Linked DNA regions of Cricetulus griseus. The protein of the gene in region 2 interacts with the protein of the main gene of each other region in a biochemical or structural test. Links are inferred from orthologs where the notes say so. Each region holds a gene or a part of one and is shown on either strand. Other genes may lie near its edges. The genes, in order: Prkaa1, Cftr and Pdzd3.

Evidence for each region.
Region 1: the proteins of Cftr (region 2) and Prkaa1 form a complex in vitro, tested with the Homo sapiens proteins (2 studies listed by BioGRID, with this or other methods). The link is inferred for Cricetulus griseus from reciprocal best matches to the Homo sapiens genes CFTR and PRKAA1.
Region 3: the proteins of Cftr (region 2) and Pdzd3 form a complex in vitro, tested with the Homo sapiens proteins (2 studies listed by BioGRID and IntAct, with this or other methods). The link is inferred for Cricetulus griseus from reciprocal best matches to the Homo sapiens genes CFTR and NHERF4.

The regions. Positions count from the first base shown.
Region 1 is NC_048595.1:339,157,562-339,161,217, reverse strand, and holds part of Prkaa1 (5'-AMP-activated protein kinase catalytic subunit alpha-1), read right to left. Parts: intron 3,133-3,656; coding exon 2,888-3,132; 3' UTR 1-2,887. UniProt on the Homo sapiens protein: Catalytic subunit of AMP-activated protein kinase (AMPK), an energy sensor protein kinase that plays a key role in regulating cellular energy metabolism.
Region 2 is NW_023276806.1:208,285,446-208,287,933, reverse strand, and holds the end of Cftr (cystic fibrosis transmembrane conductance regulator), read left to right. Parts: intron 1-521; coding exon 522-627; intron 628-1,648; coding exon 1,649-1,849; downstream 1,850-2,488. UniProt on the Homo sapiens protein: Epithelial ion channel that plays an important role in the regulation of epithelial ion and water transport and fluid homeostasis. Mediates the transport of chloride ions across the cell membrane.
Region 3 is NC_048597.1:155,936,288-155,940,043, forward strand, and holds the start of Pdzd3 (Na(+)/H(+) exchange regulatory cofactor NHE-RF4), read right to left. Parts: upstream 2,778-3,756; coding exon 2,762-2,777; intron 2,391-2,761; coding exon 2,363-2,390; intron 2,227-2,362; coding exon 2,153-2,226; intron 1,844-2,152; coding exon 1,632-1,843; intron 1,394-1,631; coding exon 1,204-1,393; intron 1,110-1,203; coding exon 973-1,109; intron 789-972; coding exon 584-788; intron 411-583; coding exon 214-410; intron 128-213; coding exon 1-127.

The DNA.
Region 1 (3,656 bases), on a different chromosome or scaffold from region 2:
CATCTTGTCAGGGTCCACAATGATCAGGTGGAGGTTAAGGAGAAGAAAGAAAGATTTAGACATGTTTTTCTTTCATTCCCAAGATGCCACTTGGAACACAGATCTTACACACCCAACCACATTAGCTCATCTGTGAATGGCATCAAAAGTCCAAAGGACGGTGCAAGGAAGGGAGAGAATTTATATAAAATTATCTAAAACTCCAAAACACTACAAAAGCATCTTAAGAAAAAATATAATCAAAGTAAAAGCAATGGTGTTTATTTCAATGAAATTATTTTAAATTAGATATATTAAGCTCCCACGTGTCCCAACTTGGTAGAAAAGTTCCTTTCATGAGAAATCAATTTTAATGGCAAAATTTTTACATATCAGCAAAATCTGTTATTTTAAAACTATGTATACAGTACTTTTCTGGCAAAAACTTATACAGCTTTCAGTTATCAAGACAAAGTAAAAATATGGTTGCATAAAATCACAAAAAAATATAAACTGCTGAAAAGATAATAAAAAAAGATTAAAAATCATTTGCATTGACTCCCCTTACATTTTCAATATAAGAATTTGCAAACTACATTCACAATACATTTGTGAAAATTCTGTTGCAAGCTTGACATACTTAACTGAAAGTTATCATTTCAGATATCCTAGCTTGAAAAAATTGACTGCAATAGTCTGCATTTATCATACTATTTATACAAGTGCAATATTTAAATATCTTCAAAATAAAACTCGGTAACTAAAAGGAATCACAGAATAACTTATAAAAGAAGCAAAGTTTACAAAATTAACAATTTTTAGAAGGTCCTATTTAATTGGTTCCTCCTTTTGTGCCCCTTCCCCTTCCACACAGTTTATAGAGATATTACTTAGTTCTATTTACAAAGCTGGAACTTTAAAAAAAACACACTCTTCCTTTCTTCACATCAGGAACACAATGCTGCATTTGGACATCATAAGTAATATCAGTAAACCCCAAACAGAGGACACACACACACACACACACACACACACACACACACACACACACACACACTCGCCCACACAAACACACTCGGTATAAATACAGTTCGGAACTCATTTAAATGGAGGATCCATTACTTTATACAGCATCCAAATTGGAGTTGAATAAAACAAGCCCTGAACAAAAGAATCATAATCTTTGTTTGGAATTCAGTGCATAAACCAAGCTATCATGACCTCCAAATTCATTCCCTTCTGGTTACGTAAGTGCTCAACACATTGGGGGGTGAGGGGGATTAAAATAAATATAGTGAAAAAAATATCTCTCCTGCAAAGGGAAAATGATTAATGTTTAAAGAAAATGTATTTTTGCATTGCTGGGATCAAACCCAGGATGCTGGGTGCATCCTAGACAAACACCACCACTGAGCTAGAGCCTCATACCCAATTTCTTAAACTTCAATAGAAGCCAAATGTGGACAATAAGACATTATTTGCTCATAAAACACCAAGCTTCATCTTCCCTGACTTTAAATCTTCATTTACAACTCAAATGCTGTGCTGTCACTGAAAGAGGAGAGGCATAGAAATCAGAGATCTAAGAAAGATATTACTTCTATAGCCACTAATTTTTTAAAAGTAAAACCTGAAATAAACTTGACCATTTTAAGAACTGATCCCTTCTCCACCTTTTCAGAATATTATTTACCTGATTAAAGAGATAGAGCTGAAATGAGACTGTAAATATAAACGGGATTCTGGACAGTTAAGAGATAAATATGGAAGGCCATTCACTGTCTGGAAATTACTCGTTTTATAATGCATTCAAGAGTTTCTTAAAGGACAATATTATTTTTAGGAGATGCTTAAGTATTTAGGACTGAGTATGTGTTTCTTAACATCTCAGTGGTTCAGAACAAAAGCATACATACATTCAAACATATATGCATATCTGTTTTTGTACATATGTGCATCTAGAGAGCAAATGCAGCCAAATAGGAGTTGTTGGAACTAAGTAGTAGACATACATGCGATCACTGTATTTTTTTTTTAAATGTCCAGAATAAAATCAGGGGTCAAAAATCCAATCCACGTATTCAAAGCTTATAAAAAATGTCCTTTCTATGCACTGAATCAATATTAAAAATATACAATCAAATGACATTCAACAGTGGCTGGCATGACAGCCAGAAGAATCCATGACAGTGAAAAAACATGATTCAGTACAGTATGAGCAACTCCACTCTTGGATCCAAAGCAGCACTTCATATACAAATCAAAGGGGGAAATTGTAGAAGTAAACTTAGGGCTCAGGGTTTCTGAATACATAAATTCTATGGATTTGGGGGCTTACAAGCTAAAGAAAAGATTTAAATTGAGTCTGTATCTGGTATGACTTACCACACAAAACAGCATTTTAATGTTGTGGAAATCGTTCACAATGTTACCAGAAATGGAAATAGTAGCTATTTAAGAAGCTAAGGAGCCCAGAAAACAGCATCACTTAAGAAGGTCTATGGGGAATTCTAGGCAAATAATTAATTCATGAAGCAAATATAAAACACATCAACATATGTGAAGGCTTTTATGGTAAATTTATGGCCTACAAAGCCCTGTTACACCAAATTAAAATGGTCAAAAATCAAGTGAGACCTACAATCCATTCTGTATATATTTTGCTGTATATATCTATTGAATAAGGGACAACAGAATGGTCCCAATTCATTTCCGCACATTAGGCTTTTATCATTTTCCAATCCCTGTGCAAACTGCATTCCAAAGGCCAATCCTTAGATATATGCATATATATATGTATATATATATACACACATATATATATATGTAAAACTTGATAAGTGGAAGTGTTTGGCTATAATTTATTATGCATGCTTATTGCATCAAAGAAATAAGCAAAGTTTTAGGTTTACTGTGCAAGAATTTTAATTAGATTTGCACACATTTCAAAAAATTCTATTGTGTGACTTCCTGGTCTTGGAGCTAAGTCAACCGGAGAAGAGTCGAGTGAGGTCACAGATGAGGTAAGAGAAACTTCTGACGGCTTTCCTTGAGCCTCAGCATCAGAGTCACTCCTTTGGCAAGACCGATAGTTGCTGATGGATCCCGATCTCTGTGGAGTAGCCGTCCCTGATTTGGCTTCTGTTATTTCATCTGGGTGAAAAGAATTCCCACATGTTACTATTTGTCCCTTGAGAGGTCCAACAGTATGGATCAGATTCTTTAAGTGAGACTACTGACTAGCTCCCCAGAGCATGTGTAATTTAAATACATTCTCAAATGGGGGTACTGTGCCTGGATTAAGCCACTCACTCACAGTTTCTCCACACAGCATGGAGAATGCCTATGATGGATGACCAGTTCACACAGGGTACACAATCTATCACTCTTGACTTTTACACTAAGAGCCAGGAAACTAATAACCTGAGTTTTAATTTAAAAAAAAAAAAAATCCCCTACCACTAAAAGTCTTTTCTATTAAAAGCACAGAATCAATCTCTTGAAATATGGATGATATCTTGGAAATCATCTCAGCCAAGAACCATTTTACTAATATAAAACAAAGCCAGAGAAAACAATGATTTGTTCAAGGAAACAAATGAACAGAAAGGTTCGGCCATTTGGGCACTCTACCCTCCCAACTTCAGTTCAGTGCTTTTCACTCTGCAGTTTCTCCT
Region 2 (2,488 bases):
TTTACTTCATTGATACAAATCCCCATTCTGATACCATGCCTGCAAGTAGGGGCAACAAAAAAATTGTCCAGGAGAAAGTCACTATTGAACATGTACTTATTTTCTTCCATAACATCCCTGTTTCCTCTCCTGACTGGAGTCTGGAATTTCGTACAAACACTTCAACATCATCAACATATGATGAAATATTTACTTAGGTGTAAACACTCTGTTTCTTTCTGTATCTTTATCCATCTCTATATTTTTATTACAAATTCATTAATACTGCAGAATAAAGAACTGATGATGAATCTACATAAAATGTAGCTTCATTCTTCATGAAATTTCTTATAAACATTTGTCTCATTAATGTATGAAATACTTAGAATGTATCCCTTGTTAGAAAGATGACCATGGCTAATTCTGTATCAACATAATGGTAAAAGTATTTTTTAAGTAAAGAACTAAATCTATAGGACACTGTGCATATTGTCAAAGGTAAAGGCAAATTATACTTATGTGGTATTTTCTTGCTTTGCTAGAACCTACCAAATAATTCGAAAGGTTCTAAAACACACCTTCAGTGGTTGCACAGTAATCCTCTGTGAACACAGGATAGAAGCAATATTGGATTGTCAGCGATTTTTGGTGAGTCTTTTATACTTCTTCAGTGTCTCGTTCCTAATTTATTATTAACAATCTTACACATCAGTTACTATAAACTATAGTCATGTGTCCCTTCCTTCATACATATGCCACACATCTTCCAGCTCTCCTAGGTGTGGCTACATGTGTCCTTTTCCTTTGACTTGAGCTATAATGTGCTGCTGAAATTTAGCACACTCCCAGTGGTAGCATATTGCTAAATGGCATTGTAGACCAAGCATCTGTGCTTTCAGGTCTTTATTTGGGGGAACAAGTTATAAAATGTACTATTGAAAAAATACCTGTTTCTTTCAATAAACTAAACTCCCACTGGGGAAGATAAGGGATGGGCTTTACTGTCTGTGGTTTTAGTGCAATAGGAGAGAAGCCTGTTTAATTATCCTCATTACGTCTAGAAGTCAGGTTAGTGCCCTTGTCGGCCACCTTGTCATTTTCTTTGCCAACTGTTGTGGAGGTAAATGCTCTTCTTACCAAAGCGTTTTTACTCCTATTGTCATTACTCAGCTGCAAGTGACTATAGAGAAGATGCATCTCTTGTTCTGCTGGGGTCAAATTCAGGAACTGGGTAACGCTCTCTATGGCCTCAGACTTGCAAAACGTTAACATGCATTGCAGGCATTATAATCAGTTATGCCTAGCCAATTTGGAATTGTTAGGCCTCAGACTCGGTTTTGATGAAGTTCAAAGTTTATGGTATGGTTTATACAGCTCATCTTAAGAGTATATGAGAGATGGATCATGGATCATTCAGGTTTACAAACCTCTTTCAGTTGCCCTACAGTTCTCTGAAGGAGTGTAACACCTGGCATTAGATGACTTTTTGAAATTCCAATTGCTACTTTCAGAGCCATTCATAGATGTAAAAGTTAAGTAAAGTGTACATGGCTGTGAATTCTGCGTTTCCTTTGTATTTTTATTCTCCTTTGGGGCTAGGTCCGTTTCTGTTCCTGAGCTGGCTTGCTCTTCACTCTGTATGGGGTTTCACTAATGGCCTTTTCCCTAGGTCATTGAAGAGGGCACCGTGTGGCAGTACAACTCCCTGCAGGCGCTGCTGAGTGAGAAGAGTGTCTTCCAGCAGGCCATCAGTCCCTCGGAAAAGATGAAGCTCTTCCAGGGCCGCCACTCCACCAAGCAGAAGCCTCGATCACAGATCACTGCTCTCAAAGAGGAGACAGAAGAAGAAGTGCAGGAAACCCGTCTCTAGTGGCCAGGATGCTGGGGAAGCAGCTCAGTGGACCTGAGTCTATTCCCAGAATCCATGCAAAATGAAAAAGCCAGGCATGCCCTGTGCTTCTAACCCCAGGGCTGGGGACACAGGAACAGGTGGATCCTAGCAAGTGATCCTAGCCCACATAGACAGTTGCAGGCCAGGCACCTGAGAGACAGTGCCTGAAGATATCCTCTTGCCTCCACATGCAAGCACACATGAACACACATGCACATTAATAGCTGTATACAAAGAAAAACGAAGAAAAGGAGGAGGAAAAGGGAAAGATAAAAAGACAGACTCTAGAAAGCAGTGCAAATGATTGGAAAAGAATCATGCGGGATGTCTGTTCATGGACCCTGAGAAGGAGAACCCCACTATCTGTGCCTTTGAAAATAGGGTGAAGCCCCCATCTCTGCTTTTTAAGAGACTGTTTTGGAAGAGAAATCAAGAGCAATCCTATGGGTCTGGGCCACTGGCTTGCTAGTGGCGGCCAGATTGTTTGAAAGGCACTGCTTGACAATGGGCCACTTGTGTTTTGCAAGCCAAATTTTCCTGGAAACATTTGCCCCCCACTAGGAGCTGGAAAGGCAGTTATAAATGCCAGCCAGGTTAGTTGTTCAGCTTATTACTCAT
Region 3 (3,756 bases), on a different chromosome or scaffold from region 2:
AGCATTGGCGGGAGCCAACAGTGTCAGAAGGCTCAGCTGCATCTTCAACTAGATGATCCTTGGTTTCCGCCAGAGGGGAGTCAGCAATCTCTGTGTTCTCCAAGAAGAGGAGAGGAGACAGCCGTACCTGGTAGTGGGGGCAGAGAGAGCAAACCTGTGGCACTTGAGCCCTGCTCCATCCCTACCCCCTCCCTAACCCTGTCACTTACGCACCATGCTGAAGAAGCGGTCAGCCTCAGGATCAACGACAATAAGGGAGACACAAGAGCCCTGTGCTCGGATCCTAGACACGGTTTCCTCATGGCCCAGCCCGTCCACACTTTCCCCAGCCACAGCCACCAGGCGGTCTCCAGCCTTCATCCCAGCCTTGTCAGCTGGCAGTCCTGGGTCCACATCCCACAAGAACTGCCCTGGGACATAGACATATTCACTTCTCCTCCCTGACTCACCCCATGCTCTCCCGGGGACACTGAGAAGAGTGCAACTGGATATATATGACCATCCTAAGGCCCACTTACACACACACACACACACACACACACACACACACACACACACACACACACCTCGGGCTGCCACTCACCAAGGCGACCATCCAGGCCCTTCTCCTCCCGGAGCAGGAACCCAAAGCCTTGAGGTCCTTTCTCTATGTTTAGACACCGGGGCTTGGCAGGCAGTGCCCAGCCCTCTGCCAGGGGTGCAGCAAGAGGCATTCCCAGCTGATGACACTGTTCCTCTACCTCCGGCCCCGCCACCAGCAGAGTCACCTGATCTCCACTCTGCGAAAGCTGTGGGGACCCAGCAAGAGTAGAAGCATGAACCATCCATGGGGGGGATGGAGAGGTAGATATCTCCTCAGCACCTCCCCCCAGGCCCACACAAACTGTAGAGAAAAGAAAAAGAGGGGCGACGTATACAGACCCTCAGATCAGGAGGCGGGGTTCACGTAGCAGCCGCCACAGGAAGCCCTACCTTCCTACTGAGCTGGTTGGAAGTGAACTTCTCCACACAGACCCCATTCACTTCTAACAGCCGGGCCCCAGGGGGCACTCCTGCTCTCTCAGCAGCTCCTCCTGAACTGAGCACCAGCCAGAAAGGGCCCCGATTTCCTAAAGGCAGACAAAGTAACTCCCAGTCTGCTCCTTGCCTGGAACAGAGTCTGAATTTCCCATCTCTGACAATCCCATCTGGCCCTAAGCTCACCATGGGTGATGCTGAAACCAAAGCCACCTTCGTCTTTTACTATGTGGCACAACCGGGGCCTGACCTCTGGGCCTAGGGCAGGACAACAGAAGACATCGCTCCCCTGCTGAGCGCGCACCACATCATGTGCATGTTGCGCTAAGACTGTCAGCAAGACCCGGGGACCGCTGGCCCGGATGCAGCGTACTACCTATAAAAGGACATGGGAGAGAGGTTGGCCCCCTGGTGGGATCCCAGGACCCCCTTAGAATTTGTATTTCCATTGTAGAAATCAGTTCTGTAGGAGTCTTTATAAAGCGCTCTAACTGGGTACCTCCGAATCATGGGGACTAGGGAGAGTGAGGCTTGGCCAATGCATTAGAGTGCCCAGGCAAAGAAGTGCTATGGAGTGTTCCTTTGTGCCACAAGAAGTCTCAGCCCAGCCTCACCATCGCATAGTCCTCGTGTTCCACGTTCTTATTGTTCACCGCTAGGATCCGGTCTCCTTCCCGGAGACCATGACGTTGGGCAGAAGAGCCTGGATCTACCCTGCACACCACATGGTCAGCCTTGCCCAGCTGCTGCTGCAGATGGAACCCAAAACTCTTTTCCTCCTCTTTGCTCAACAGACAGAAGCGAGGCCGCCGCAGGTTCCAGGGGTCTAGAGGAGGAGGTAGACAGCAAAAAAAAGGAGGGGACACAGTTCAAGTACAGGACCATCAAATGACTGGTAGCCCCTGAGTCCCATCAGAGCACTGGATAGCTTCCAGACAGTGAGAGGGTGGGCTTAAGAGCCGAATGGACACTTCATGGGCAAGGTGGCTGACACAAAGGGTGAGCTGCCTCCCTCTACCTCTGCTTAGTTACTGATATCACTGGGAGGCAGTTAGTGGTTACCAAGGTGATAGGAGACTGTGGCACTGTAATGTCTCTAGGGAAAGGTAATGGTTGCCAGGGGTGAGGGTGTTACCAGACTGGTCCTGGTCTTCAGCCAGGGAGAGGACAGGATTGTCAATGCCCAGCCTTGGATTAAACTTAAACTTCCTGTAAGGAGGCAGGAGAGAGAGGCAAGTAAGAGGAGTACGTTGCTGGACTGGGGTCCCAGGTCCTACTTGAGGTGCTGATGAGAGCTGAGAGTCCCACACACACCTTCGATTCTTCTTCAACCCTTATAACTTACAGAGTTAATGCAGCTGTGTCTCGAAGATCTGCTGGACAAAGGAGACGTAAGAGTAGAGACACACTCCTCCCCGAGATGGAACTTCCATGATAAAAACCTGAAAGGGCTTAGGAGAACCCCAGACCCCTCCCATTCTGCTTCACTATCTTCACACACGGGAGTGTTACCTCCCTCTTATTTCCCTTCCCCAGTTCTGTGGCACATAAATCTGAGACTACCCGCACAGGGTGTGAACCAGGAAGATAGACGTACACACTCACCTCACTCCTCTTTAGCTCTATCTATTGCCTCAGAGCTACAAGCCCCAATATCAAGTGTGTCTTAGACCCAAAGACTCCAAATCTGTCCCCTCTGCTGCTGCCCAAAGTCCCCTTTCAAGGATATCTCCCCACCTCCTACCTGCAGTTGCCTCCATAGTTGGATCAGTGACCCAGGACTTAGAGTAGGGACAAGGTTCATTATAACCAGCTGACCCTCCCACCTGCCCCTTCCCGAGTCACGCCTCCTTGAAGACGCTGCAAGGAAGCAATAGGGTAATGGTTAACAGCAATGGGACTTAGTCTCTGGAAAGTCAATGTCTATGTTCCTTCTGCTCTCAGTCCTGGGCCCTACCTGTCTCAAGAGAGCCTTTAACTAACCCAGTTGTTCTTGTGTCCAGAAAAAAAAAAGGAGATCACTGGTCATTGGAATTCCAGGCTGGGGGCAGTAAGTATGAAAAGGGGGATTGGAATTCTAAGGCCCAGCATGGAAAACCTCATCCCAGGGTCTTACATGCAGCCCCTCCAGCAACAAAATTATCTAAAGATATTTATGTCTTTTCCTTTGGCTATCAGACTATTCAAACACTGGATCCCAAAGATTTGGAATTTCTCCAGGAATCTTAAACTGGAGAAGAGAAAAAGATGAAGCTCTCCCTGGTGCCAGCCAGAATTTGTCTCCCAAGAAGAGATGTCACAGAGTTCTGACAATTTGTCAGATCACCTCACAGGACAGACTGGAGCAGAGTCAATGAACCAGTGGTTCAAAACCACACCCTGACAGAACTGCTTAGTAGGCATACCTCTTGCCCTCTCCTGTATTTAAATCTAAACCCCAGGTCAGGACCCTGAAAGATGAGCTGGGGGCGGGGAGGGGGTTGTCACTGGACCTCTTCTTCATATGGCCACCTCAGACAAATCTCCTTTCTCCACTTTTCTAAGTTAAAAAATTTACTTATTTATAGCATGGAGGTGGTGGTGCATGCCTTAATCCCAGCACTTGGGAGGCAGAGGCAGGCGGATCTCTGTGGGTTTGAGGCCATCCTGGTCTACAGAGTGAGTTCCAGGATAGGCAGGGTTACACAGAAAAAACCTGTCTCCAAAAAAGTTATTTATTTAGGGGGGGAGGGAAGATGT